4 linked regions of the Drosophila melanogaster genome follow. The protein of the gene in region 1 interacts with the protein of each later gene in a pairwise test. Each region holds a gene or a part of one and is shown on either strand. Other genes may lie near its edges.

Region 1 (7,554 bases):
CAAAAAAAAACCCGAACACTGCAAACAGGACAAACTTTTTCGTTTCGCCAAACTTTTATTTCGTACACACTTTTTTGGTCCTACGCGATTTGCTCGCGAAAATTATGAAAAATATGTGAGAAATGTGCAAAATCCGCAAAATACTAAAGTAAGGGCATAGGTCAAGCCCTATTCTCCAGTGCGGGATATATATTCTGGACGGGCCAAAAATCCCCTGACGTTGTCCTTTCAGTAAACCAAACCCACCCACCGCCCATCTAGTGTCATGTGTATGTGCGAAAAGAAAAGCAGCCAAGTTGAGTGTGTGTGCGCCTGGGTGTGGGAAGTCGTGTAACGTGCTAAAATAAGTTAATTTATTGCCGGCACAACAACAATCACAACACACAAAGACAACAACTGCCGGCAGTCATAACATTTGTGTTGTTCACCAGTTACCCAAAGGTGAGTTACTTTCAGTTGAGCGTTCCGACTGGGTGATGATGATATCTGTATCTGTGATTTTGCTCCGGCTTTTTGTTGGGACTCTTAAAATATAATTTACGGTCATGTAGGCTGTGGATTTTGCAAAACCAAGCAGATTTTTGGCAGGAGAAATATGTTTCGGCAGTGCGATTACACACAAATAAAATAAAAAATAAATTTCTAGATTAGCTTTGAAAATTAGGATTCATTAAACAAAAAAAACTCCAAAGAATGAATGACCATGTAGTTCTAATCTTTTGTCCAGATTACTGTAACCAATCATTTAAGAAGCAAACTGATTTTGTGCCGTAAAAGACGCTTTAAGCTAATTACTCATGCTGTAATAATCTGCATTAGACATAATTCGATTTGCTTGACACTTCGTAATAACTAATTTATCCAAGTAGATGAATAGCTCAGAATAATGAAAGGACTTGTGCCGTAAGTCACTTTACAATTAGGTGTTTGTAAAATTAATTAACATTATAGAATTTTAGTAGTGGATATAATAGTTCTGTGTCGCCCTTTACCGACTCAGCAAAGGCAATTTCCCATTGTGAAAAACAATGGATGTACCGCTATTAAAAATTCAGTTGACCCAGTATGTTGATATTTACATTTGAACAATACATTTCTGAGTGAAACAATTTTAGCCCATATTTGATGGTAACTTTTGGATAATAACCAGGTGGTTAAAATATCAGAATACAAACCCGTTCAAATGCTTTCGAGAACATTATTCACCGGATATGCCTCTGGCGACTCGACAAAGTGTTTTTGTGGAAACCGACAATAAAAATTATGCCGTTCATTTAACTTGTTTGGGCGGAGATTCGTCTGAAGAAAGTGATGGAATGGCCAATTGTAAGTGAAAAGAAAATGTAAAATATTCATTCAGATCTTGTTAATTTGTTGCATAGATTTGGTTCAGACCTACGCCACTGAAAAAAGGCCATCAGTTAGAATTATGAAGAAAATTTTGCAGGCGCACAAAAGGCACGGCTTGGAGTTGAAGTTTCTAAAATATTGCGTGTAAATATATTGGAAAAAATTATTTATTCCCATTGAAAAGTGGTCTGTAGCCAATAACTAGACTAAGAAATATCATGCTAATTGAAAATTTTTATCAGACCATTTGCGTTTTTGTTTTTGAGCTTCCTTATCAAAACTAATGTATTGGTTTGTGAACCAAATTACATTGAGGTTTAATTAAAAAAGAAATTTATGGCTAGGAGCGCGTCAATTTGTTTTCAACTGTGGCAGTTTTTAAACGAAAATATTTTGGTGACTGGAACCGTTGTCAAAAAGTTCGTTCAATTGACCTGTCTTCGCTATTCAAGCGTGGCTAAAAAATACAACCGAATAGCTGAACAAAAACTGTCAGATCCATGACCTACATAAGTACGTCGTGTAACCAAATAGATTGGAAGGTTTTCGAACGAATATTTTGTTTTTCCCCTGCATTCGCTTCGTATGCAAAACCAAAACAAGCAGCTTTCAGATTTTGACCATTTTTCCATTGTTTTGCTAGTCTCTCGAATGGAAACTTTTGCCTGCCCATTTCATTCGTTTTTTGCGGGCTAGCTAACAAAAGTTCGAATGTTAAATGATTTTCATGGCGCAAACTTTGGCAACCCTGAAACTGGACCCCGGTCATTTGTTAGCCTGTCAGAAAGGCAACAAAAATGGGCGCAAATATGCAAGTCTGGCTGACACGTGAATTTATTGCATTCAAAAATATGAAAAGTTCCAATAAAAAGTGCAACAACAGGGTACTACAGGGTATTAGTACAGCGGGCCAAAGCAGCCCCATTCCCAGCAATTTTTGCATTTGTTCGGCACAAAATAGAAAGGTGGCGCACAACCGCCGCTGCAACATCCGCAGTTGCAGGTGCATTTCATGCAGGGCAGCAGGGGACCCACGGGGCCGTAGGTCAAGCGGTACGAGACCACGGCACAGGGCGGTGGGCCACAGCATCCGCCACTGGATCCACCACATGAACCGCCACATGATCCGCCGCAGGATCCGCCGCAGCATCCTCCTGTACCGCCCCTGCAACAGGAACCACCAACACAGCAGGATCCACAGCAGCCACCTCCGCCGCAGGGCTTACAACCAGACCCACAGGATCCAAACTGCGGTCGGCATCGCGGTGCAGCACAACTCATCCTAGAAATTACTTAGCCCTTTGCAACCTGTTGCTAAGTACTTGCCGCTAAAAAAAATGCTAAATACTCCGGGGCAGTGATGGACAGTCAGCTCACAGCTCCAGGCGCCTATTTAGCACCTTTTTTGTCCGCCAATAGTCACAAGTCCACTGGGAAAATTTTATAATTCCTGTCGAATAAAAACTCTTGCAGTTTCCTCAAGTATTTACTGGAAAAGTGACACCAAAGGCAAGGATACATGCGGTTGAAAACATTTTAAATTAGAATCGTATCGAATAAACATATATTGGAGACTAAGTAATTCCATGTATAATTTGCAATTTATATGGTAACTTAACGATTTTTCTTCCTATAAAAGTCTATAAAAGTACTTTTATTCCATCACTCTATTTTTGTCACCAAAACATTGCAATTAAAATTACATCTCAATTACACATCCTGCCTTGCGGTACCATTTAAAACCGACGTATGGTCGCTAGGAATATCCAACCAGAACCACCACGCTTCGTCGAACCCATGTCCTCTCAGTTACATTTGCACAGTTGACCATGCGTGGGTTTGTCTACTAGATCCTCACATGCAGACACCCTCTTACATGGCCTCTGGTCCGTCGGGAGATATTGTAATTGATTGTCTCCGCCTGGATGAATAGGAGTTGGATTGAAGTATCATGGACCGGAGTGGCAAAAACTTTCATCACGGTTCGTTATTCGGCGGATAGAAATTTGCATCGCCAACGGTCCGAGTTAAAACTCGTGGTAGAAGTAATAGAATTATGAAGTTGTTCTGAACAGTATGCAATCTCGTACTTTATTTTGTAACGCTTACTTGATTGGTTGTGTCACAGAGAACACCAATAGAGTAATTTAATTTATATATTCCCACAACATGCCATAATATGGTATATATGATTGAAGATCCCGGCTAAGGGCTTCCAAAATGTAGTTCACTTCAGCATCAGGGTGCCATCCACTCTCTCGTTCCGATTTAGCCAGCTTTCATTTTAGGCCAGATATCCAAAGCGTAGTCTAACCCGAGGGCGGCGTCGATGAGATTGTCAATAGCTGTCAGAGCGAAAAATCGCCTTTGCTCCCTGGGAAACCCAATCCACTTCAGTTCCTTTTCCACTTCGGCACCAAACACTCGATTTTGTGTCTGCTCCAGGGCCAATAACTATACACCCCACCCAAAAAAAAAAAAAACAATAGTAAAAAGAGCACACGTTTCGGAAAACCTAAACCAAGTCAAGATGTGTGGTGGCTGGGCCTGTGCCTCCTACAATATCGCCTGCTGCAATCCCCGCCTGTCGACACTGCGATTCTCTGGCCGCTGTTTCGCACCCACGCCCTGCGGTCCATGTGATGACTGTTCCATTTACGGCGGTTGCTGCGGTGGCTGCTGCGGGTGCTAGGTGATCTCTGACCTGGAGTAGCCACAGAGTTGGGTGGAGAGTCCGGAATTCAACTATCTTGAAGTAGGCCTTGGGAACTGTTGGCTGTCAGCCATGAAACAAATATCATTCAGTCCCAGTCCAGTCCTTGTCGGAACAACAACCTTAAACGTTCACCGGGGTAAGTTTCATTTATGCTTTTATAAAATTTTATTTAAAAATTTTATTTTTAATCATTCACATTTCCATATAGTTCCCACATCCGTTTCCTAACCATGTGTGGTGGCTGGGCTTGTGCCTCCTTTGACCTGGCCTGCAATAATCCTCCCTTGTCAACACTGCGTTTCACCGGTCGGGACTTTATACCCACGCCCTGCGGTCCTTGCGATAAGTGTTATGTTCTAGATACTAGCCGCAAGAAGAACACCAACAACTGCTATGTTCCGCACATCCTGTCTCCACTGGATGCGCAGCTCTGCACACTGGCGAGTACTCAGAAAAAAAAGGAAGACGAATAAACGCCAGGAGGAAATGCGGTCTTATACTACTAAAATTATCAGTGTAGATCTTCTTGTACCAGCCATTTCCATGGGAAACCAATAAAAATTTGAGGGACTAATACTGACTAAGTAAGTTTGTTCCTTAGTTAGAGATCTTGTACCTACGCTGTCGCGCCTAATTATTTTCATATTTTTCCTATCGGTATCCTGGTCCTGGTAAAACTGTCGACAATTTTAGTATATTTTTTTTTAAAGGAATATTAAATTTGAGCCATACAATTTCAAGAACCATTAGAGAAAGAATTATACCTCATGGTATACTTAGGATACTCAATCCTAGTAAGATTGTGCTATCTAGGATTTTGGTATATTTTCTTATTTTTCATATACGTATCAATGGAATATGAAATTTCTCAAGAAATTTGACAAATAGTAAATAAGAAGTTACTTGTTTAAGTACATTAATTTATTGAAAAGCTCGAACCATTGTGTAAGTGAAAATGTGGTTCAAACCAAAAGCACAAAAAAATTTCACGTCGTTTTCTTCAGGAATTGTCGTACCTTGGGTTTCTCAGTAAAAAGGCCCAAAGCAACCCCATTCGCCGGCACAACAGCACCTGTTAGGAGGACATGTCCAGGGACCACAGGGAGGATTGGGTCCACAGCAGCAGTTATTATAGTTCATGGCTGGCAGAGCGGGTCCGACGGGGCCATAAGCCAGGGCATAGGATACCGATCCACAAGCTCCTTGGCAACACATCTTCGGGAGGATAGGTTATAACTGAAGGAGATATTCGATAGAAAATCTTTCGGGGAAATTAGGACTACTCACATTTTGTTTAAGGCAAGAGAAATGCTTGAGTAAAGATTTCCAAAAATGTTGAAACACGAAATTTTTTCGTACTTTTGGTTTATGTACTGGTGAAAGCGTACGGAGCTGTTTACAAAACAAGTAAATAGACTGGAATGAGCTGAGCTAAGAAAACCAAGCCCATGCCCTGGGAAATTCTTCCCGAAGCCAACTTGATGTGGAAAAATTTAAAACCAGCTAGAAAGCCAGAAAGGAAATCAAAGTGGGCTAGAGAAACTGCCTTTAAAATCGATCAAAGTCAAGTTGTTGATGCTGCTCTCCTCCTGGCTGAGCTCACAAATTTCACACATCAATGATTTAACATCGAAGCGACAAATACAAAAAAATTGAATTTCTCTAACGACAAAACAGCAGCGCAACAGATTCGCCCCTCTGGCAAAAATAAGAAATCATTGAAACATGTCTAAAAAAAAAAAAAAAACGACGACTCTGGGCAGAATAACACCAGTATGAGATGGGATGGAAGATGCCGAAAGGATTCTGTACAGGACTCGCTCTAAACTGGGGCAACGGCAATGTCGAGGCAGACATGAAAGTCTATTAGACTCAACGAAGCAACCTTAACGCCATTTTCCAGCTTCCTTCGGTTTTCGGGGGGTTAATGTTAGGGCATGTGTGTGCGGGACAGGATATAGGATATACAGGACCTCGTGTGCGTCTGCGGGCGTTGTGATTCACAAAAGCTGACAAGCTCATCGATCCCTGAACATTAGCTAAACATAAATTACGCAGATGACTGAACAACAATTGAGGCGTTTATTATAATGTGTGTTCACACTTGAGGCTTTCAAAAGATGCACTCACAGCATATACATATACATATATCCATATATATGAGAAGTCTGTATCAGAGAATGGACAATGTAACTTATTTAAACTAAATTGGAATTGTTCAAATGGTATTAAATCGGCCAGCTTAAATTTTGAATAATGAAAAGCAATTGTTTTGGTTGTGATCAGCAAATCAGCAAATGTCAAATAACTACGCTTCAATAAATAAATATTTGAGTTTTTATTATATACTTAGCTTTAAAATACAATAAGATTAAAAAAAGATAATAACTGAAACTTATTTCATAATATTTTGTGCTATCAAATTTTGTGCTTACCTTAAACGCTGGATTTTATAACAATTTCAAAAATTCTCACTATTAACATTGGCAATGAATCCTCCGCTTGGCATTCCATTTGGCCTTATAATTTATTCATTCAACTTGTTTAAAAAGCAATTTACATCGATTTACCAATAACAGCTCGCTGTTGGAGAAAAGGAAAAACCACAGACCCCCAGACAGTTAAGAACTATTGCGAAACTCATTTCTAAACGAACCAAAAAAGGGAACCCAGCTTCAAGACTGCAATTGAGGGCCCTCCACATTCCTTCGAACCGAAAAACAACACCCCACTTAAGATAATCTCATTGGTAGGATGCCAAAAACTTATCCCCCTGCACACACACACAGTGTATAAAAATGTCACCACAAAAAGGGAGAAACACCAGGGAAAAGCAAAACAGCAGGGTAAACAAGTGAGGCTTCAACTAAAAAAGGTATTTCCTTTTAAATCAAATACAAAAATTTCTGCCGGGATTCCAATGCCAGTGCCTCTTGGCCGCCCTGCCTCTTTTCTCTTTTTTTTCTCATTTTTTTTTTCTTTTCCAAGTGGATACGATGGGCACTTCATTTCACTCCAAAAACATATTGAGCCGGGCCACTTGAGTGTGCGCCAAGAGATAAGCGCAATTATATGGCTTCCACTCCCTGAATCCGGACATAAATGGGAGATCGCAGGGGCCGCAGGACATTGGGACAGTGGACATTGGACAACCGCCCAGCGTAAACTGTATAAATTAGGTAAAAAGGAGAACTTAACGTTACTTTTGTGACACGGCCTTCATTGAGACAAATGTGCGGTCTTTAAGTGCAACGTTATTTTCACTTTTTTCCTTCGAGCACTTTAAATTTATTTGCCACAAGAAGCACGGCTATCGGGCCACCGATACTCATGCCCCCGAAATAAAAAGGCATACAAAAGATGTGAAATTCCTCTGAACTCTGGCATCTCACATTTTGTCCCTGGTCAAGTGCTCGTTATGGGCAATTTCTGCTCAAACTGCTTTCTGGGTGCTTTTGTTTTAGTTTCTTGTTTTTTGCTGACCGCAT
Region 2 (8,212 bases), 2.9 Mb from region 1:
CGGAGTTCCCAACTCAAAAAGGAACTGACCGACCGGCACATCACATGCAGGGATGCCGCATCCTTGCCTGCCATCCAGGATCTAAAACTTCCAATCTACGAGAAGGACGGAAATACATTCATAGCAGGAACGTGTGCCGTTTGCCGGTTGGTTATTGGTAAATAAAAGAATCCATATTCACCTAATATTTCCTTTATTTCAGAGAGCTTATTGCAAGACAACCAAATGAGGAACTCAAGAAACTTTTAGGCTTTAAGGGAAGCTGCCTCTTGGCTCCGTCAGAAGCATCGATTTGGACTAAGTTCTGTGAGGTGGATTTAGTGGCTGTTGTCAGTAAACTTCATAGTGGGCAAGTTTTGGAATTCGTCCCCCAAGAAGTAGTGAGGTTCGAGCAGCACATGAACGAACCGGTGAGGATGCATAACATCTATAAACAGGCCAGAGAGCAGGCCAATCAGACTGAGAATGGCGGCAAGGTCAAGAGGAGAGAACGAGTGCAAATCAAGTGCACTACACCTAAGGAAGAGCTGCTTATTGAGCACCGCTTCGCCGAGGGCATCAGTTTCACAATTGCGGATATAATTTTGTACCCCCTTTTGAGAATTGTCTTCCAACATTGCGGGCAGATGCTGCCCCATTTTCCACTCACTAGTACCTGGTTCAGCGAGGTTTGTAGATTTGATCTGTAAAAGTAACTAGAGCTAATATTATATGTTTTAGATCGACTCTTTCGGCGATAAATGCGCCAGGGTTCTAAGAGATCTTTATGTGCCGCAAGCAATTAAGACCCCTCCCGGAGAACTGGGAATCCCCGACTGCGAGGCCACCAGTCTGTACAAAGCCGATCCCAAGCGATACAAGCCAAGAAATCGGATTTACACTAGTCAGTTGGAGTTGGAAGCGGCTCTAAGTAAGCTTTCCTCGCTGCAACTGCAATTTAATTCCGATTCGGAGCACACCTATGGCCAGCAGCTGATCGACTGGGAGCAGATTGAGCCCACACATGCTAAGAGTTCAGCGCTGCCCAAGGAGAGACTCGAGCGCAAGAGGCAGCAGCTAGAGAACTTGGCCAATGCGGTGGTTTCCCTGGCTCAACCGGGCGACCGCATTGTGGACTTCTGCAGCGGCACAGGGCATTTGGCCATACTGCTGGCCCTCAAGCTGCCAAATTGTACCATTATTGTGATGGAAAACAAAGCTTTCTCCCTGCTTCAAGCTCAGAAAAGATCAAACGAATTGGGTTTGACCAACTGCGTTTTTTACCAATGCAACATAGATTACTTTGTCGGAGGATTCAAGATCGGGGCCTCTTTGCACGCGTGTGGAACGGCGACAGATATCGTTTTGCAGCAGTGCCGGAGAGCCAAGGCACATTTTGTTTGCTGTCCTTGCTGCTACGGTTCTCTGCAGCCCATGCCTCACATTTCGTACCCATTGAGCAAAGCGTTCCAAAAGGTGTTAGACACAAAGGACTACTTGTACATTGCCCACTCGGCAGATCAGGCACACGAGATGGGGACAACCAACTGCAAGCCAGAAACCACGCTTCAAGGACTCCACTGCATGTCCGTGGTGGACACCGATCGCCTGCTGCAGGCGGAGGAGGCGGGCTACCAGGTCATTCTCACACGCTTAAAGCCCGAACAGTGTACGCCAAAGAATCACCTGCTAGTCGGACGTTTTGTTAAACAGAACTGAACTTACAATCTGCCACTGAGACAAAATAAATGCCTTTTTGATATGTTTTAAACCTTAGCCCACCATTGTGGAGTGTTCTTCTTTTTTTCGAATGATTTAGATGTTGGCTTACAAAAAAACATGTTTTATTACGGACCCGGTTGGCCCCAATCCATTCTGTCTAAATTCCTCCGATGCGAATACACTTTGTTTTCTTCTAAACCACTTTTAAGACTTCTTTTTAGTTTACATATATTAATTCTCCATATGACGCTTCTCAAGCTTAATATATTTGAGTGAATTTTAAATGAATGTTTTCCACTTATGAACACGCTAGTTACACACAAGGTGTTAGGATTGAATCACCTCCTCGCAGAGCCAATACCAAGTGAAGAACGGATCCACCTTGCACTTTGTAGTCCGCCGCGGTTTTATCGTCATTCCTGGGGGGGATCGCATGCGAAATAAGCTAAAATCAATGACCAATAGCCAGAAAGACTCACATTTGCTTGCCGGAGAAAATAAGACGCTGTTGCTGGGGCGGAATGCCTTCCTTTTCCTCCACGCGCTCCTTGATGCGATCTACCTTGTCCGTGGGCTCAATGTCGATCTCGATTTCCTTGCCGGTCAGGGTCTAATGGAAAGATAATACATATTTACATTAATAATCCAGCCACACATATATTGACTGTAATATTCGACGATTTTGTTGTTGTTCAAAGTGCCCGCTGGGCACGATGGCTGTGATTTATCTTTATCCTACTTTTTTGCTACTCCATATCTTCCACACTAACCTTCACTTTGATCAACATTTTGTGTGTATTTAACTAGGCGCTCCTGTACAAATTCAAAATTGCCGAAATTTTTGCAAATCTCCACAGCTGGTTCTCTTTTTTGGCTGTCACTTTCGGCGTTGGTACGACTGGCAACTATCGATAGTACTGTCGATGACCATCGATTGTTTTCCACACTATTACAAATATAGTATTTTCTCCATCATTCCATCTCTACACAATTCACGTGTAAAAAAATACATTTCGAAAAAGGAGAACTTAATTTATGTAAATTTTTTGTAGCTTGATTTATAGTGTGCCCATTACGGTTAGAAGTCTCACATATTTAGAATTCAAATTCTCCTTAAATTATTTTACTCATGAGATGCAAAAATCCATTGAATGCCATTACTACATTTTTTAACTTTTGAAAAAAATGGAAGGCGTCACTTTTGAGGGATTTGAATTAAGAGCAATTTGTTTATTAATGTTTTATCTCGGATCTTAGAAAATTAAAAAGTATTTTTTTGTCTTTTGTCTTTTCTGTTTTATTAAAATAAGTTGTATGCCTTAATAACTAAATACATTTATTTACAGTACTAAATGGATAACTACTTTGTTCTTTTCGAAGGTACTGAGATCCCCAGCTTAGAAGTTCATCCCTATGAGAGCTTCTTCAGTTTGTTCCAGTCGCGAATGGCCTCCCCGATGTGGCGTATATCCCTCGCATAAGTGCGACAGCATCCCCCAATGACCTTGGCCCCCAGTTGCGCCCACTCCGGAACGTAGTTCGCCAAGGGCACACAGTGCTCCCTTCCCTGCCAGCCGTTGACCACGTCGTATACCTCTCCGCTATTGGGGTACACCACCAACGGTATCTGCTCACCCACTTCGCGGTCACCATTCAAACTCTTAAAGAGCGGGGTCACAAACTTCGGATGCACACAATTTACTCCGATGGCCAGGCACTTATCCTGGGCATTTCGTTCAGCCAAGAGGTCCCAAATAGCATTCGCCGCGTCCGCAAAGGTTTCTCCATGCGCCAGGGTATTCTCATCCTTGCACTGGAAGGCCACCCAGAACTTCACATCCGGATAATCATCGCACAGCATCTCCACCAGGGCCTCCGCCTCCATTTGACAGGGAATCGTCTCGATGGCCAGCGCATCCACACCAGCCTCCAAGCACGCTTCGATCCTCACGCGATGCCAGTCCGTAATCTCCTTGGCCGGCACAAAGTCGGCATAGCTACCGGTGTACTCGGAGCCATCGTGCAGGTGGGCCCCAAAGGGTCCAATGGAGGCAATGATCAAAGGGTATCCTTTAAAAACAATAAATTGGAATATATAATTGGTAAATATTACTATATATAAAATAAAGTATTAAAGAAAGTATTAAAAGTAATGACCCTACCACATCATTCACTTGACCACAATCTAAATTAATCCCGCCCGAGCTGGACCTCATGGATGTCAACTTACCCTCCTGCACCGACAGCTGCGCCTGATAGCACTCGGTGAGATAGCGTTCCTTGGCGATGTGGGCCAGGCGGACCGTGTTCTTTATCAGCTCGATGCTCTGCTCCTCGTCCAGCTCCAGGTACTCCATGTAACCATCGACACTGGACTGGTAGGTGTTGGTCAAAATGATATCGGCACCATCTGGTGTTGTCAAGGGGAAAATTCAGTTAGTATGTTGCCAATTGCTACCGGAAAACAATTGCTTACTCTGCAAAAAGTCCAGGTGGGTGCTGATAATGGCCGCCGGATTGGTGGCATTGAAGCGGGCACTCCATAGCGGATCCCCATCCACAGAGTCACCCACATGGACGGTCATCTGGGTGCCGAAACCGCCATCCTTCACCAGCACGCGCGTCAAACCCATGATTGAAAGATTACTAAGAGGGGTGGAGGATGATCCGTTGAAAATTGATTATTAGTTACATTTCTACGTCAGCGGGCTGCGAGATAATTAAATATGTATATTGCGTCTGCCACCTGGATTCCACTGCACTCAGGGCGATGTTATACAATGTATCGGAAGAACTAATCTCTATTTTTCAGTTCAACGAACTTGGCAGAACAAAAGACCAGTGGCTTAATCTAAAAAACACACTGAGAAAAACAGCTCAAAGTTCTTTAGCTAAGATATATGTTATATGAGTCTTATGATTTATTATAAAAAAGATTTAATTCTAGGAGTATTCAGCTTTCACTGAATAGTATACAAATTTAAAACCAAGGTCACATTTTTACGTATCTCAATAAATGGCGAGTTAAAAGCCTGAAACATTTTATTCTGTATACGCTAAATTCAAAATATACATCAGCTCTTTAAAATTTGGCAACAATTTTTGAGAAATATATATCTTTTAAAGTGAATCATTTATTACGTTTCAAGATCTATTCTTGTTCCAAATTAAAAAATATATTAATATTTAATATATGTAAGTATTCCAAGCATAACATTTTTAGATTGCTTATAAGATCCCTTTGTTGCACTTTTAAGCATACTCCTTGGATAGTGTATACACCGTCTGTCATCAAAATCTATCGGTAGGGAAGCGAAAAACACACGATAAGGTCTCGCACTCACCTTGACAGCTTGTTTATGGATCTTGTAAATGGGCAAATTCAATAACAACTTTATTAGACACTAGACTGGCTGGTTGGTTATCAAGTGGTTATCACAAATCTTTCGGAACGGTGGATATGATCAGTCGCAATGGACGCTCGACGAACGTTTAAATGTTTCACGTATCGTCGAGGGGCTTTTATACTTTCCGAAGGGCCACTCAGCTGTGCGGCTCGGCTTATCAGGGCGAAATTTATAATATTTATAATAATTTATAACAAAACAAAACGGCAAACACAAACATGAGAGTGCCCCCACCAAGTGGGTGATAAGCCCGGTGCACAGCTGCCAGACGCTGGCCAGCCAGATTGGATTGTCCGGGTGGACTGCGACTCCCCCTCCACGAGGCTGATGAAGCTGATGAAATCGTCAAAGCGCCGCTGTGCGTGGTTCTGGCTTCCGAGTGACTCTGCTCGGGATGTCGCATCTGCTAAGTCGACGCCGATAACCTCTGGACGCCGCCTAGGACCAACACTTCAAGATGTACTTGGTTGTTGACTCTGTCCTCCTTAAAGGAAAATGGGTGAGCTTCCGACCGCACTCAATAGATTATGGTCCAAAAATAGGTCTACTGATGTCAAAGAGAAAAACAACATTTAACCCCTATTCTGGTAAACAAATCGCTAATGAACAGGAAATAAGACATAAGATATATCAAATAAAATCTCCTCTAAAAGAGATGAGCTTAAAGTGATGATTGTTATTAATATTTGGACAAAAAAAAAATAAATAAATAAATAAATAAATAAAGTAAAATGTAAAGTAAGAGATTGACCGACAAAAGGCTTTCAATTTGAAAATGGCCGTTAAAATCATGTTTTTTGAACGAAGTATCCGATTAGGCTGATTGCCAGATTGGGTCAGAGTGCAATAGGTGGACATGTGGCTCCACCATCCTCAAAAGCTTCAACAGCCAAAAATGTAAGTACTCTTTTAAAAATGCGGTATGAAGTTCCAAAAAATTTTGAAATATCTTTCATAGTGATAAAGTCGAGAACCGCAAGAATAGAAGGGCATACCCTTCTCTATAAAGTACCTTGCGTACCAGAAGGCGTTTGCCTTGGTACATATGTAAGAAGTGATTAGATTTGATGAATCTCTAATGAAGATATTATTTTAATACTGTACTAAAAATATGATATATTGAAGATAACTAAAACAACTATTTTTGATATTTTTGTAGTTTATTGCTTTACATCAGTACATACATACACACTTTTAACAATATTAATTTTAAAGAATTTAAATCCGGCTATAAAGAATAGAAAGCTAAGAACACAGCAAGTTTTTCAAAGGACAAATGCACGTTTTTGTGTTATAATTGAATAGAAAATTGTTTTGATTTGGACTCAAAAATTGAGCTAGGTTGGCAAAAACAGTCGTTGGGCGAACGTCTGCCCATATCCCCAGCCCACTTGTTTACCTTTGGTCCGCCCGCCTAATCTGTGTTTGTCTCCCAGCCAGCCGTCCACGCTTTTTTCCACACTCTGCTGATTAGGAAGCCATCTGATCTGGGTACATCTAGTACTCGCGTATATGTATTTAGCAAACTAAATAGGTCTAGGTCTAGTCACACGAAACAGCTTTCGCATTAGCGACAAGGCTGCTATCAGTGACCGGAGTTCTCTCCCGATTACGGCTTTATGTTGAGGCCATCGACGTACTTGCGGATCGCCAACACGTCCGTCGGATAGACCCGGCAACAGCCGCCAACGATGCGCACTCCCAGCTGGATCCACTCGGGCACAAACTTGACCACCTCCTCGCCGGTTCCAGTCCAATCTCCCTGCTCGACGTCGTAGATCTCGCCGCGATTGCTGTAGACCACCAGTGGGATGCGATCCGAACCGGCCACTTTGGTAAGCGATGATAGCAAAGGGGTCACGAATAGTGGGTTTACACAGTTCAGACCGATCCCAAGGAGCCGGTTCTCAGCCTTCCGACTTTGGACCAACCGCCAGAGGGAGAGAGCCGCCTCCGCGAAGTTTTCTCCACTAGCCATGTGCTTTTCATCCTGAAAATATCGGAACATAAAGTGGATTTTTAAATGTAATTGAACGATATATTTTTTACCCTTGTTTTGTATAAAGAATGTTATTGTTTTTTGCGATATTACTCACCATGCACTGCAGGGAGACCCAGAATTTGGCATCCGGAAAGTTGTCCAGTACTAATTCGGTGACTGCCTCTGCCTCCATCAGACATGGAAGTGTTTCCAGGGCCAATCCATCCACTCCAGCTGCGAGACAAATCTCAATTCTTGTCTTGTGCCACGCCCTCAGCTCCTCCTTGGACATCTTGTCCGCATAGTTGCCGGTGTACTCAGATCCATCGTGGAGATAGGCGCCATATGGACCTATTGAGCCCATGATCAGTGGAAGAGCCGACTCCGCTTCAGAACCGATTTCGCTAAGGTACTGTTCCTTTGCCTGCTTGGCCAGTTGAACGCTCTTTTGGATCAACTCCACACCTCGTTCTCTGGTCACGCCCAGGTACTTCACGAATCCCTCGACGCTGGACTGATACGTGTTGGTTAGAATAATATCCGCTCCGTTGCGAAGAAAGTCCAGATGTGTTTGGATCACAGCTTCCGGATTGGTGGCATCGAATCGCGATCCCCACAGTGGATCACCGTCCACTTTTTCGGTGACATTCTTGGCCAATTGCGAGGAGAATCCTCCGCATTTGACCAGAATTGGCTTGGTGTCCCAGTTCCATTTTTGATTCACTTCCATGTCTTCACTGCTGTACGTTTTCCGTTAAACTGCAAATTTCTGGAAGCGTACAATGCGATACGACAAAATTTCGTATCTGACAGATACGTGATATTGTAAGTATTGCCGACTTGGAATTTTTGTTATTTTTGTCGGATTTTTTCGCTTGGGCTGGCAACTTTTTCCGCTTATCTTGTATGAGTTTCCACAACGCAAAAACCTACACATACCCTAACACATCTCAGCTGTTCTTTGTTTACGAGTGCAGTGAGCACTCGATAAGTTGGAATTCTAAGAAATGTGTCTTGAATTTTGTAGCTAGCTACATAGCTACATATAATATAATAAAATAATAATATAGTTATCTAATAAAGAATCAAAGATGTTTCGAAACAAGTAGGAATCAAGTTATGT
Region 3 (7,905 bases), on another chromosome or scaffold:
AGTGCGTCACAGCTCGCACCTCGATGACTTGTGGAAGATGGCCAGTGCCAAAAATAGGCACTTCTCTCACCTGTCCGAGCCCCTTGTTTTCGTACCGCATTTGCCTTTGCCTTTGATGGGCGGTAAGACTCTGCCCAAGTGCTTCCCACAGCGCTCCATTCATAATATAATGCGCTGGGCAAATAAGTGAGTGTGTGCGCCCCTCTCTCGGTTGGTAACTTGGTCGGAAACTCGGTCGTTCAGCCGGTCTGTGCCCATGTCTCCAAAGATACGTGATCCGAGAGATAGTCGACACTGCGATCCGGCCTGAATGGGAGGTGACGCGGCAAGCCGGAGAGCTGGGGTGCTGGCACGGGAAAGAGAGCCGGGTCGGGGCAGCTTCTAAACACAAACGCAAATACGGAGCAACGTCGCTCGGTGATTTACCCATCCAGCTATAGACATATGTATGATATCAAGCCGGCCAGAGTGTCTGTGGTCAGTTCGGCCCACTCCCAGATGACAGGTGACGGCCATCGAATTGGGGTATTTCCTCATGGCGATTCTAGATTCTACATTCACGTCACCGACCGTTTTATTCGGTCAAGGGTAGTCGATGGCAACTGGCATTTGGTGCCATTGAGGACTTAGTTTTAAACGCCCTGATTCACTTCGATCTTAACTAAGGTGCGGTCTTTCCACCACTGTATTTCCATACACCAATTATGTGGAAGTTGGCACAGTGGGAATTCTATTTGAATGGAGTAAATTCCATTCCAAGCGATAAAACATTAAGTATTTAAGTCGATGCGTACAGAACGAGAAAGATCAGTAACGGCTACTTCTAGAGTATAATAAAACCAATGCAAATCGAATGGTAATCTCCCAATAATCGAATGATTAACCTTGGCATATCGCACACATCAACCACATTGAGTGTGCCAAATTAGAACAGTATAAGGAAGATTGCAGAAATAATCCTTTCTTGACTCTCAGATGATGCAAATTTAAATTGAAATTTAAGCTATTATTTATATATGATTTCCCGGTAGTTTATGTACTTTATATATAATATAAAATAATCAGTTATAATGCCATACAATCTGAAATTGTCTTCTGTGTGGCAAATTAGATCTAGAAACTGATTGATATATTGTTCATATCCGAGTTGCATTAAACACTGTATCTGTTTAATGTTAACAAATGTAACTTTATGAAAAATGTAACTTTGAAGGAAACACTATCTTCTGTCGCGTGTGCATTTGGCTAACGAGAACTTACACAATGAACTTACACGTGCATCTTGGTGGTATATTTGCTAAATTTAAATATTATATGCCTGGCTGAGGCGATAAGTCTGAGCGATATTTCCGTCGCTGTAAGTGTGGGATGTTTGCAGCTTTTTACTACGCTGAGTACTAAGTACTGTCGTACGTCACTCTGGAAGAGCTCATCAATGGAATGGTCATTTCTAAAAAGGGAATGGCAAACAGGAACGAGCGATAGATAGCGGATCTCCCTCAAACCGGATGACGTTGCAAGTTTAGCGAGTTCAGGCCGAGATTAGTGCGTGGCCAAAGTTAGCACCTCCTCGAGTGCGATAATTAACAGTCAACAATGCCTGGATGGGCGCAAAAAAAAAAAAAAATAAATTATAATAATAATAAAGAGGAGGAAATCAATACATATCGAATCAAAAGGAGAAGGCACCCATCTAGCGCTGAACAAATGCAATTCTGGACTGACAGCGGGCAAACTGCATTGGAAAACCCTTGGACATGGCCTCCAGCTCGAATTCCGGAAAAGTTGGCAATTATGGATCTGCCCAGAGCAATTGGGTAAAAACAAAGCTCGAAAAATTTGCCCAACTGATGAAATACTACGCAGAAAACTCGACAAGGGAATACGACTCCCATGAGCTTTGTGTCCCATGAGTGGGTTGAACTACGTGCGTCTTTATGAGTAATTGCTATGTCAAAGTGTGAGTGCCATGTTGGGCTAGGTTATGTGCTTGCTCGATGCACTGTGCACTACTGTGCACTGGCCATAGAAGAGACAGACACTCTGTCTGCCGGTTGCCGGTGTCTCTTATACCCAGTGCTCGATCAATTGGCCAAGTCCAGCGACCAGCGGCCAGCGGCCAGCGGCCAAGTGGCTATTGCCAGTCAGTTGCATGCAAAACGCGCACGTGCCAAGCGATCGATCGGAAATGCCTACGGAACGACGCGTCATTTGCCAGGCAAGTGGCACCCGCATCATAAATCGCCACTTAGTTAAAGTAAATACAGTAAATCGAGTAACTGAAGAATCCGAAGTGACGCCGCCGCCACAGCAGCTAAGAGACACGAGATATTCGCAAATTAATCAAAGTAAACGCGATTCCACTTTGGCTAATTCAGCCTGATGGGCATTGAGACCAATGTTGAATTTACATATAGCCATTACAATTTCCGGAAAGCTCAGTATTCAGGCATCAGGCTTATCAAATTTCGTACAAGAACAGTGAAATTCCCCATAAAAAATGTGTTTGTTGTCAAAATGTTGCCTCGAGCTTTTTGCTTTGGGTGTTACTCTGTTAGCTTGAACACTGAGTTTGGAATATGTATACCAAACAAATTCCAAGAATCTATCAAACATGTATTAATCAGCTAACAAACAGAGCAATTGGCATGTGTCGTTAAACAGTGACTAAAAGCCACTCATAGACAGAGCTAAACTAAAATGTTTGCAGTCGTCGTCCTCCAGGCAGGCAATTTAAATAAGGATTCAATGTTGCGATTGTAAGGTCAGCCTAATGCCAGTTGGCAACCAAGATGCCCGATTACTTGGTGTAGGGTGCAAGAATGCAATGCGACATCCGTTTTGGGCCATGAAGCGTGTGTGCATAAATTACAACGGTTGGCAACTCATTTGCCGCAAGACAGGAAGAAAACAAAACGTCATGTGCAGCGCTGCAACAGCGGCATGAACTACTGACCAGGGAGTAGCTAATCCCCGGCTGAGTCAGGAAGCCCATCCAAGCCAAGCCAAGCCAACCCACCCACTCACCCACTCACCCCCACCTCCGATAATTGAGAAAACCCAAATTCGAACTCCCTTTGCGGGCCGTTGTTTTTTTGATTCATTATCGTCATCGACCATCGGCCGCTGATGCTGCCGTTGCTGCTGCTGTGGTTGCTGCTATTGCTGCTCTTGCTGCTTGCTGTTGTTGTTGTTCACTTGTCGCTACAACGAGCACAACAAGTGTGAGTACCCGCCGCCCGCGCGCGTGTATGTGTGTGTGTGCGTAAAAAAAGTAAGCTCGGCCACGCGCTGCGCCGCTCGTGCGGCTTCGGCTACTGATATCGCCGGATGGCGGTCCGGTTTGTATTTAAATCGCCGGCGTGTGCCCCAACTCCTCATTAACCGTAAGATCTCGCAGAGCCCGCACGCCAGCCCCAGCTCTCCAGCTATCCAGCTATCCAGCTCTTTAGCGCGCTTTCAATCTGAATCTTGGCCAAATATCGAAAACCAATAAGACATACTCTCCGAACCGTGTGTGCCTAACATCACAAATCAAATCAAAATATGACCGCCAACAGCAGTGCCAGTGAATCCTTCGAGCTCCAATTCTTGGAGCGACTACAGCAGCAGCAGCAGCAGCAGGAGCAGGAGCAGAGTGCTCCGGCGGCGACAAAAGCGTCCTGCCAGCAGCAATCCAACATCATCGGTCGCATTTGTAAGTGTGCATTAAGATCTAGCGCCTCTGAATCATGTCGCTCTATCTGTATCTTTGTATCTATAACTGTGTCATCGCTGGGCAAACAGGAAAGTGCTCATCAAATGATAGGGATCTTGGGCATTGAAGTTTTCAATCATCATTATCTTATTGGCCAAGCCTGGGCATCCATCAGGATTAGGGAGATCTTTTGAACATCTTTGTATGAATCCTATTTACTGACCTTCCATCTTCTTGCATTGCAGCTACCTCCAAGTGCTGGCTCCTGGGCATCCTGCTGCTACTCACAGTCGCCACTAGTTGGCCAACGGGGACAATTGCCGCACCGCGTCGCGCTCGAGGATTGAGCCTGATTCTGCCGCACCGCAATCACGCACGACTACACCATCACCACCAGCACACCAGGTCAATAAGCACCAAGATCGTGCCCCTGTTAACCAATCAGACTGAAGGCAGGGAGCAGTGCACGGACCTTAAAATGACTCCCAATATCGAACACCTGCAAGTGGCGCTCGAGGTGGCCAAGAATACGCGGGAGGCGGTCCTCTGTCTGACCAAAGAATGGGTAAGTTAGCTAGAACGATGGACTTGCGGCAGCAGAGGCACTAAGTTTCCCATTTCCCATTTTTTTTCATTGCGAAACAGCTGAGGAATCAAAACCACACCCTGCCCCAAGATCTTCACTCCTACTCTCTGCATTCCCTGGCATTGAAGCATCCGCTCCAGTCGGAGGTCAAGGAAGTTAAGTTCCAGAACCAGCTGGGTGACTTTGTGTACAGTGGCAAGGTGACAACGCTGCAGGAGGAGATGCCGGCCATTATCGAGTCCCTGCTGGTCCTGGAGCATCTATACGAGATCATTGTGTTCGATCACCAGTCCTGGAACTGCTACTTCAATAACTTCGTGCATTTCTTCCATCACAACATGCACGAGGCTCTCAAGGTCGCCGGTCTCAACGATGCCTGCAATCCGAGGAACGCCGAGTACAATGCCGATCACATATGGCCGATGTTTGGCGCCGCCGTGGAGACCATCAAGGTGCTGACCATCATCGAGCACAAGTACGAGCAGCTGATCAAGCTGTATCAGTAATCCGCTGGACAGAGTTGGACGCTCCAGAGGAGCAGTAAAAGCCATACCAAAAATAATCGCCTCCGATGACCCACTGCAATCTCAAGCTAATAGGCTATGCCCACGAGTATCCAGATCCGTATTCGTCTACTAGACACCCTCATCTGCCTTAGACCCTATTATTTATTATAACTTATTAAATCCCCATTGCCCTCATACGTATTTATATCGCCTTTGCATCCTATTTATATACATACGCGTACCACCATACTCACTGAACACATTCACCGCATCGCAGGCTCGATAACTTATGAAAACTATTACTTAAGTGTATTTTTTTTATATATATTTACAATATTACAATGACTATTAATAAATTATACCGATAGGCGCATACGTGAAGTGCTTTTCTTTTCTGGTTGACCAATTTCATCATTCAGATGAAATTAAGTTACAACGAATTGGGGGCTTAGTCAACGGTGGGAATTCTGCCAACCTTTCGAAGGTCTACAACATCGATTAAAGCATGGGTGGTCATAAGATGTTTCCATGAATTGAAACAAGTGGAAATGGAACAAATCAAAGGTAGAGTTCAAAGTATAATTCTCAATTGCATAGCTAGCTAAGTAAATCGCTTAATACTTAGGGTTTTTTGATTTTTCACTGTTTTTTTTTTGGGGACTCGCGGGTTTATGACCTCCAATGCTTGAAGTTGGCAACCCAATTACCACTCCCCCAAATCGGAAATACTGGGGAAGTATGCGCGAGATTCCGTTTTTGGCCCGACTCGTCACCTGCCCTGACCCACCCCATTGTCGTTTATAGCTCGTGCCCGGGGCACGTTCCGATAGATAGATAGATACATAGATAGATGTATGTACATACATATATATCGGTTCGAGGTTTTCCACAGCGCGGCTGTTAAGAAAACCCCAAGTACCGTACAGCCGTCTGGCTGTGACTCATGGACCATTAGGCAAAATGTCGGGCAATCGTCGTGTGATCTCTGCATGTGACAAAGCAGTTTGTACACGGTAAAAAAGTGTGATATCTCCCCAGTGGCGGCTTATCGGAAATGTTTTATGATCATTCCTATCTGTAGTTTCTGCATGGTAGTTCTGCTTCCTGCATAAAAGAATCGAAAAGCTTGATAGGGCTACAAAAAAGGTCTGCAGAGGGAAAGTAGAGGGCTACTTTCTTAAAAAGGGTTCTATCAAAACTAACAGCCAAGGAGACCATTATTTATTTTTTTTTTAAAGCATGCCTACGTACATATATCGTTTGGGGTATTGTGTTGCCTTCGTTGGGGCACCAAAGGACCAATTTTACCGTTGCCACTTGACTGGCTTCCCCATTCTTTGGGGGTAATCGGATCGGATGGTCAGGAGCGATCAAAGATGGTGGTGCGTGGGATGGGGACTCGGGGATTCGGATTCAGCTAGGGATTGGGCTGGGACTGCAGAGCCGTTCGCGTGGCAATGGCGTCAGTCGCCTCGAAAACCGATAGCTGTAAAAGCTGCCGCCGCAGCGAATTGAATCAGCGGCAGAGGCCGCCGCCGCAGCAGCAGCAGCAGCAGCAACAGGCGCAGCAGCATTTTCTCTGCTGCAGCGAGCTGAGGTTATGAATGAAAATCCAAGTCCACACAATGTTCCGCTCGACAACCTGTTCTTCATCTTCCTCTTCTCGTCGCTGGCCGCACACTGTACCTCTCTGTCTCTCGCCCTCTCCCTCTCTCACTCGTTCTCTGTGGAGAGCGGGAACCTGTTGCGCTCTGCTCTTTCACTCGAATCGGCGCTCTCCGCGCCTCACGTTTGGAGCTTCTTGGCCGCTCGCCGATTGGCCAGAGCGCTTCGGAACCGCTCGTCTTCGGAGTGACGCTTAGGGGGCAGCGGACCAATCAGCGACGGGCCACTGACACACATTCACAGTTTCACCGATGGGCCTACGTGCAACGGCCCACGCACACAAGTGCGTAGAATGGCATCTCCGCGCCACGCCCCACCGGCTCCCCCTCAACCCATCGGCCAGTGGGTCAAAACGAGCTCCAGCAAATCAATTAACAAACAGAGTACATTTTCCTGTGAGGATATTATGGGCGTAAAAGGATTAGATGACATGTGTCGAATGTACAACTGCAGAGGAGCTTATTGGACCAACGACTGACTCTTGATGAAGTGTAAAAAACGAAAGTAATGGTAATGAAATTGTTGCAAATTTAATTTAATACATTTCATTTGTACATATTCGGAATACTAGTAAAATAGCTAGATATATATATTTAACGAAAGTGTAAGATACTTTTAGTAAATTAACTGAACATTAAAAAGATGGTATTGCACAAATAATATATTACCTATTGCCTATAAAATTGGAAATCGGGCGCATTAAAGCCGGCTAAATATAAGAAAAATGTTTGTATAATTCAAAGAGAATGACAAAAGTATGTCAACTTGTTCTCACAGTTCCTAGCTGGCCAGTACATATATGTAAGATATATTTATATGTACGTGGATTGAAAAATGTAAGCTTAAAGGTCTAACAAATTTGCAATTTCTATACTGACCAACTAACCATTAATTAAGGCATAACGATGTACCACTCTTCGAGGCGATAATCAACATCAAAGAGTTAAAGCCGACTGAATGCTGAATACTCAATAAATCCCAAAAGGTACCAGATGAAATCCATGGCGAATCCGAATTGCAACGGCAATTGAGGATCGGATAAGCGGCGGAAAATAGACAGGCAAGCAAACAAACAAACAAGATACAAACAGACAAGCAAATCGACTAACTAACCGTTTAAGTTACCGTTTCGGATGTGAGAATTGCACTTCGGGATCTTGATAAAGCGAGCGATTTTACGCATAATCAAAAACATCAAAACAACAGAGGAACTGAACTGAGAAATGGGAAACTCACACCTCCCCCACCCATTGCACACCCACACCCACAGTTACACACCCACGAAAACAGGAAAACAGGAGGTTCGGACGTAGGTAGGCATGCCTGGGATGGGATCAGGTCCTGCGAAAGGACAGGAGCTAAGCAGCGTGTAATGACGGATGGTTCTCCTTATGGCACATCTACAGATACTTGTATCTGCATCTGTATGTATCTCTATCTGTATTTGTATC
Region 4 (6,703 bases), on another chromosome or scaffold:
GAAGAAGCCTATAAAACCATCCCTTACAAATCTGAAGCTCCCTTTCAAATATTTACTTTATGAAGCTGACAAGTTCGTGAAAAAAATTTTGGGGGAGCCGCAGAATGCATTAGAATTGGTTGAAAGGAAGGAAAAATATAAAACCGAAACACAAAGGAACTAACAAGCGATTCCACCTACTCCGCCCCATCAGCAAACTCTTCTAAGTGATTTCAACCCGGAAATGCCCATAAATCGATTGGATCTTGGGCCGTATAAGGGGTAAGACGAGTTTTCAGTGTGCTCCTACACCGTGCGAAAAATGATAGTAAATATACTAATGCTATTTAGTAAGCATTAAATATTTTATTTTTGTAAAGATATATTTCAATTTTAAATTAAATAATAGTTCATTTGGTAAAAATTCTTTCCAATGTTACAAAAGGAGTCTGGCTGTTTCGAGAACACTTTACTTTTCCAGAGCAAGAAATCTGTTTCTAATTTGTTGGGTGTATTAAGATATAAGAAGAGGCAAATGCATTTCTCGCTGTGTATGGGTTCCTTTGGCTGCGGATGCATCTGGCTTTATGGGCTAAATGAATGAATTGAAATGGGTGCGGACGAGTGTGTGTGGTTTGTATCGACTTGTGGCCCACTTGTCTGGATTTTCCACCCCCATCCCTTCCACTCCCCTTTTGGGTAACACCCCCTCATGTGGGGTACAATGCAAATAAAAGTTCATTACAAGCTCAGGCCAAGGCGCTTAAAAAAACTGTTGTAACCGAGGCTTTTGTTATATTCTCCGGTCTGTCCCACTTTGTGTTGTGTATTCTGCCTCTTTTATGGTCAACGGCCCCTTTCTGGCGCTTTAGATCGTGGGTGGGAAACGGAGGAAGTTGCCTTGCCGGAAACGCCACATCCGTGTACGAGTCCATAAAGTCAATAAGGGAAAATGGTAGAAAAAGCGGCGAAAGCGAAGGAAATTTTGAAAAGCCAAAGGGAAATGAATTAAGAATAAGCAATGATTTACCAACTTTGCCTTACTCACATTTATGATATTGGTGTCCGGTTGGGCATCCCTCAGCTTATCCTATTCGATCGTAAAATCTCTTTAAATTATAAGACTTTTATGAGCGATAACTACTGACGGAATAAAATACGACATTCGTTTACGACATGGCACGCATTATTAAATCTAAAACCAGCATTAGCCATTAAATATATGAGATTTTTATCTATGACAACTGTTGAAAGACCTCCTCTTCGAATTAATTGAAAATGTCAAAGATCCGAGGCAATTATCGTAAATTATGAACACGCGCCCGAATCCAAATATTATTATTATTTTTATTACGTGCGTAGGCAAAACAAAAATCAAGAATTTCGAGCCACCATCTAAAATGTAATGTCGTCTTCAGGGTGAGTTCTTCATAATGAAATGTCAACAAATACAAATACATGTGTGTGTATGTACCAAAAAGGGGGAAGTTGGCAAAAGTATAAAATAGGGCCAGAACATGTTCTTTGTTTCAGCGGTGGTTGCTCGACTTCTCTCGAGTCTTTGAAGTTGACTTGCGGAAATTGAAAACTTAATTGGCAGAGCTGTCTTACCCTGCTGTTCTGCGTTGAAGGGAAAAATAGCAAAAATATGGGGATTTCTAGAAGATATTTTGATAATTGTGAATTTAAAATACAACGTAAAATAATTTGTATACATGCAATTTTTCTAAAATGAATTTAAGTAAAATAATTTGTATACATACCATTTTTCTAAAAGGATTTATTTACATGCATATAGGAAAAATAATGCTTGTTTACTTTATAAATTGATAATACTTTTGCTGGACCACGTCCTGAAAATCTGTATCTCGTGCAAAAATCTCCATCGGTGACTCACGAGCAGACATAACAAATAAATTCACCAGAAAATCAGAGCCAGCCAAATCCCGTAAATCGCAAATTTTCTATGCATTTTACCCGTTTGCAAAATCAGATGTGGAAAAAGGAACCAAAGCAACCCCAGACAGTAGAATATATATATATATATATATATATATATATATAGAACGAAACCATAAAAAATGCAACAGACCATAATAATTTCAACGTTTATTTTTTTGAACATTTTCTGCTTTTGTCGCAATCTTCCACAGGATCCCTCCACACCAGACCCCCCTTTGGTCCATCGAATTCAGGGTCTGACTATGCAAAAATGCAGCAGCCAAAAAGCACATAAAATTATTATGTGACGAGGAACGTGGGATGCGAATATATGGTGGTAGTGGGGGGAAAAGCGGAGGACAATGCTTAAAGGCATTTCGGACTCGGCCAAAAATCAGACTCAGCATGTGCGCATAAAGCTCAAATAAACTCAAGTTGTTGACAAAGGGGTTAAAGGCCATAATTGTGGCCGTCGGCAGAAGGGGTTAATATGAATGGGGTGGCCTAACGCTTCCCCATGGGGAACCTTCCAAACGTGCCAGACTGAAAGTGGAATTTTCATTGGATGTGTAAACAAAACCAGCGGGGGAAAATGAGCCAGATGATCAAGTCTGAAAAGCTTTCGGTACGGTAGCACTAAAGTGAGTTTTTAAGGGGATATTCTCTGCTTTATGGCCGTGCTAATGTATTTTTTTTTTACAGAATAAAATTAGATTTTATGAATTTGTATGAAGGACATGTTATTTTATTATGATTTGCTTATGATTTATTGCAAATCTCTGAGACTTCCTGAGGTTTCTTGTAAATTACTATTTATTATGAGTTTATAATAAGTTGCCAATAAATTCAATTTATTGTTCCAATTTCATTAATAAACTTCGAAGTTTTTTTCTAAAACTTTCTCAAATATCCTTTTCTTCTTATTTTCCTCCAAGGTTGCCTTATCTACCACCAAAAGATTTCTTTACAAAGCTAATAAAATGTATTACCAAACTTTTGCAGAAGTTCTTTGAAAAGCAACTCCATAAAATCAAATTTATGTATTACCTGCATTGCCCCCTTCTATTTGCTTTCCCCCTACTTTCCAGCTTCTTTTTTACTCATTTCCTATATCGTTTTAGCTCCCTGAACTGCAGGAGGACAAAACCTCTGGTCGCACTTTAAATAAGCATTAAATTGATACAGCATAAAGTTGTTTCCTTCTCTTAGCCCGCTCTGTCTACCCCACTCTTTTGCTCCCAAGACGCACTCCAGACACACTCTAATCGCTTTATAACTTCTAACGCAGTTTATCAGAGTCGTCCGCAGCCCGTGGCCCCTCATCCCTTAATTCCAACACCCCCAAAAGTCATCCTTCCCATGCCATTAAGGCGGCTCAAAGGCAAAAGTTATTGTCACGCACTGAAGTCGCCTTCATGTGGAGTTGTGTGGTGCACTGAGAAAATCATTGGTTTTTAATAACTCGGCTCAAAATTATATTACATCAGTACGCAGGCTCTAGTCTTACAGTAAATATCAAATATTCTATTAATAAGATCAGTTAAAAAAGCTACTTTATTTTAGCAACATTATGAAAAGTTAACATTAGTTTACAGGGAATCCCTAAAATCATGTACCTATTTTGAGAGATATCCTCTTCATGGTAAATAACTCATACTCAATACACTGATAAGATTGTCAAGCTAAAGACGAAAATATTATGCAAGTGTTGATAAGAAGAAATTATATCAAGAGATTGTTTCTTTCTGTGCAATTTTTTTTATTGAAATGGTCGAAAGGGGGTATATAAACACCTCCACCCATGCCAATCTTCATGCAAAAGCTTTCTGGTTATTGCCTTCCTGCTCGCACTTTCTCTGTGCTTGTGTTGGGTGTCTTTAGTGCCTTTTTGGTTTTCCTCGCTTTTCTTCTTTCGTACTGTATTTTCTTATTTTTTGTTTAGGACTACGTCTGGCAAACAAGGCGGAAATTATTGTTGGCGGGGTCTTAAAGTTTTATTTTACCTTTTACATATCTATTTGTCAGCATCCTTTTTTTTGCAATATCAAATTGATGTTTTGTCTGCGAAATACTTTTTGTTTTTTCTTACATCTGCTATTACTATTACTGTCATTACATTCGTTAAGAATGAAAAGAATAAAAGCGCTTAAATGTTATGAATTAGTCCGGTGAGTAATTCCCGATCCATGATTGCACAAAAACATTGCTATCTTTATAGCCCACTTTGAGTATTAGCAATAGAATCGAAGTGAATCCCCAGTGAGTCAGTCGAATACACACCCCCTTCGATAAGATAAAGCAGCACAACAATAATACTATCTGAATTGTCAAGCTGTTCAAGTGGGATGTGTATATAAACTGGTCATATCAGCGGATGGAAAGGCAGTTAGCATTCAACAAGCAACGAGAGCAGTTTTCGAAAGGAATATATCAGTTTGATAAGGATTAAAAAAAGTAAAACATTCAAAATGTCGCCGCCACATCACGAAAATCGCCTGTTTGGAATCCACCTTGGCCTGAATTTGGGTGGAGGTGGACATCATCACCACCACCATCATCCACCGCCTCCGGTGCACCACTATCACCCACCGCCTCCGGTGCACCACCATCACCACCACGGACCTCCAATGCACCACCACGGACCCCCGCCGCACCACCACCACCACTACGGACCTCCGCCACCGCCGCCCCACTACGATCATCATCATCATCACCACGGCAGCCACTTTGACCATCATCATGGTCCTCACCATGGACATCATCATCATCACTGCTAGTACAATGGAATGGAAGGAAGGTCTTAAAAACCACAGCCATCAGGTGGCGAAATAATGAAAGTGTTTATAAGCGAATTTAATTTATTACATAAAGTGTACAAAAAACAAAACCAAAAAAATCATTAAAACCACTTAGACTTATACAAAGACATTTTTGAATGCTAGTTTCCTTGGGGAAAGTAAAAATAAATAAATTAAGAAGTACGATGATAATTCATGTAGAATTTTTTATATATGTATGTACTCGTAATGGATTTCTGCATTCCAAAAATACGTGTACTGCGCACTTAGTTAACAAATGTCCATACGATAAAGTATAAAATAACAACTAATCTTATCTTGATTGACATGACGCAAAGATTTCACCAAAACGTAATTGAACGATTCTCTATACATATAAAGCTGATTTTAAAGCCAAAGGAATCAAGAATAATTTTAAAACTTAATAATTCAAGAAATTCTAATCCAATAAGAAGATTATTGGCAACCACAAACACAAAACAAGACCACCCACGAAAACAAGTTTGTAAGCCGATAAATACAAATGAAATTAAATATAATTTTAGTACGGCTTAGATTCGCTTCGGGTGGGTCAAACAAAATGTTTGCCAATTACAAACCCATTTCGAAACGCTTTTATTTTTCTGCGGTTGTCACAAAACGCTAATTAGACAGCAGCTACCATATAGAGTGGGTCTCTCAATACCCGTATATATTTGTCTGTGGGTTATGTGGCCTGTCATAAAATATAAAATGCTGCCCCCGGCGTAGGTCGTATGGGTATCGACACCTGGAAAATATTGGTAATTAAAATTTGCCAGTTGTCGACCAGAAATCCGAAAAAACCGCTTCCATTTTGGCCTGTCTAATAATGTTGTAAAACATGTTGCCATTAAGTCAAGCGACAGACGCCGAAACGCCCCAAAGGTAAAAACTAAAAAAACAGGAAAAATAAGGAAAATGATTTGGTGGTAGGAAAATACCCTACACATAATTTAGAAGCTGAAGAATAAACTTATAAAAATTAAGATTTAAGTGATCTAATGATTAAAATGATAGTGTGATTTAAATAACTTAGTTAAAACTGAAGAGCTGGAAAAATAAGGAAAATGATTAAGTGGTAGGAAAATACCATAGCTGAAGAATAAACTTAAAAAAATTAAGATTTAAGTTATTTAGTAATTTTAAAATGTTTCAAAAGCTTTTTTCTCAACAACTTTAAACAAATTCCTTCAATGTTAAATATTAAATAGAATATGGAGTGTTTAGCTAATGTACATACCCCAAATTGTTTTTAGGATACCTTGTCGTATACTATAGCTCTCTCATTGACATGTCGCGCTAATGGAATTGGTAGCAGTAAGTGACACTCGAGCACTCTCTTCAGGTTTTTGGTCCAAGACTGTCAATTAAATATGAACATTTTTCGGGGTCTGGCTATCAACGATTTTTTGACAATTTCATGGGACAGCTCGAAAATTGACAGGCATGAGGGTAAAGTGCCCCTCCTCCTTAAATTGACTAGATGACAATTAACGTCTCAATTCATAATTTTTGCGTTTGAAAAAAACCATTCCTCAATGCGCGTGGCTTGCTTTTAATTAAAAAACTTAAATTATGCCACAGGCCTAGCCTGATCCATACTTTAGCCCCAAATGGAGCCGCCTGCCAACTTCGTATATCTTAATTGTTATTTGTATTTAATTATATGGCAAGTCGACTCTAGTTTGCCGCGAAAGTTGAAAATGTTGGAAAAACAACAGCAAGTGGGTGAGGAAAAGAAGTCAAGTCAAAGTTGCTTCGCTTTTTTCGTAATTAAAATGTTTACTTTACATAGTTGGCCAAGTGTTGGCTCTACCGGGGAAAAAGTGAGTTGAAAGATGAGAGAAAACAATAGAAATACGAGTTGCTTGAGCATCCGTCAGATACTTTCAGTGATTATGCAAGAGGAAAAACCTTGCACACCACGAGAAAAATGAAAAATGAGTGAAAGATTGAGTCATAAT

Evidence for each region.
Region 2: the proteins of CG13245 (region 1) and CG10621 interact in a two-hybrid assay, tested with the Drosophila melanogaster proteins (one large-scale study listed by BioGRID).
Region 3: the proteins of CG13245 (region 1) and CG6023 interact in a two-hybrid assay, tested with the Drosophila melanogaster proteins (one large-scale study listed by BioGRID).
Region 4: the proteins of CG13245 (region 1) and CG13482 interact in a two-hybrid assay, tested with the Drosophila melanogaster proteins (one large-scale study listed by BioGRID).

What each region holds. Positions count from the first base shown.
Region 1 is NT_033779.5:16,000,814-16,008,367, forward strand, and holds CG13245 (uncharacterized protein), read left to right. Parts: upstream 1-3,511; 5' UTR 3,512-3,880; coding exon of another isoform or gene 3,881-4,042; 5' UTR 4,043-4,202; intron 4,203-4,274; 5' UTR 4,275-4,296; coding exon 4,297-4,539; 3' UTR 4,540-4,648; downstream 4,649-7,554. Other genes in the region: CG34167 (uncharacterized protein), read right to left, coding at 2,248-2,631; CG43816 (uncharacterized protein), read left to right, coding at 3,881-4,042; CG31820 (uncharacterized protein), read right to left, coding at 5,093-5,281.
Region 2 is NT_033779.5:18,949,227-18,957,438, forward strand, and holds CG10621 (uncharacterized protein), read right to left. Parts: upstream 5,206-8,212; 5' UTR 5,046-5,205; intron 4,565-5,045; exon of another isoform or gene 4,348-4,564; 5' UTR 4,335-4,347; coding exon 4,178-4,334; intron 4,112-4,177; coding exon 3,932-4,111; intron 3,772-3,931; coding exon 3,113-3,771; 3' UTR 2,980-3,112; downstream 1-2,979. Other genes in the region: CG10428 (uncharacterized protein), read left to right, coding at 1-146, 203-668, 721-1,698; Nedd8 ubiquitin like modifier, read right to left, coding at 2,015-2,120, 2,181-2,311, 2,472-2,489; Bhmt (Betaine-homocysteine S-methyltransferase), read right to left, coding at 6,718-7,098, 7,205-7,819.
Region 3 is NC_004354.4:18,311,374-18,319,278, reverse strand, and holds CG6023 (uncharacterized protein), read left to right. Parts: upstream 1-3,377; 5' UTR 3,378-3,546; coding exon 3,547-3,697; intron 3,698-3,942; coding exon 3,943-4,262; intron 4,263-4,342; coding exon 4,343-4,789; 3' UTR 4,790-5,155; downstream 5,156-7,905.
Region 4 is NT_037436.4:14,325,049-14,331,751, forward strand, and holds CG13482 (uncharacterized protein), read left to right. Parts: upstream 1-4,297; 5' UTR 4,298-4,388; coding exon 4,389-4,697; 3' UTR 4,698-4,837; downstream 4,838-6,703.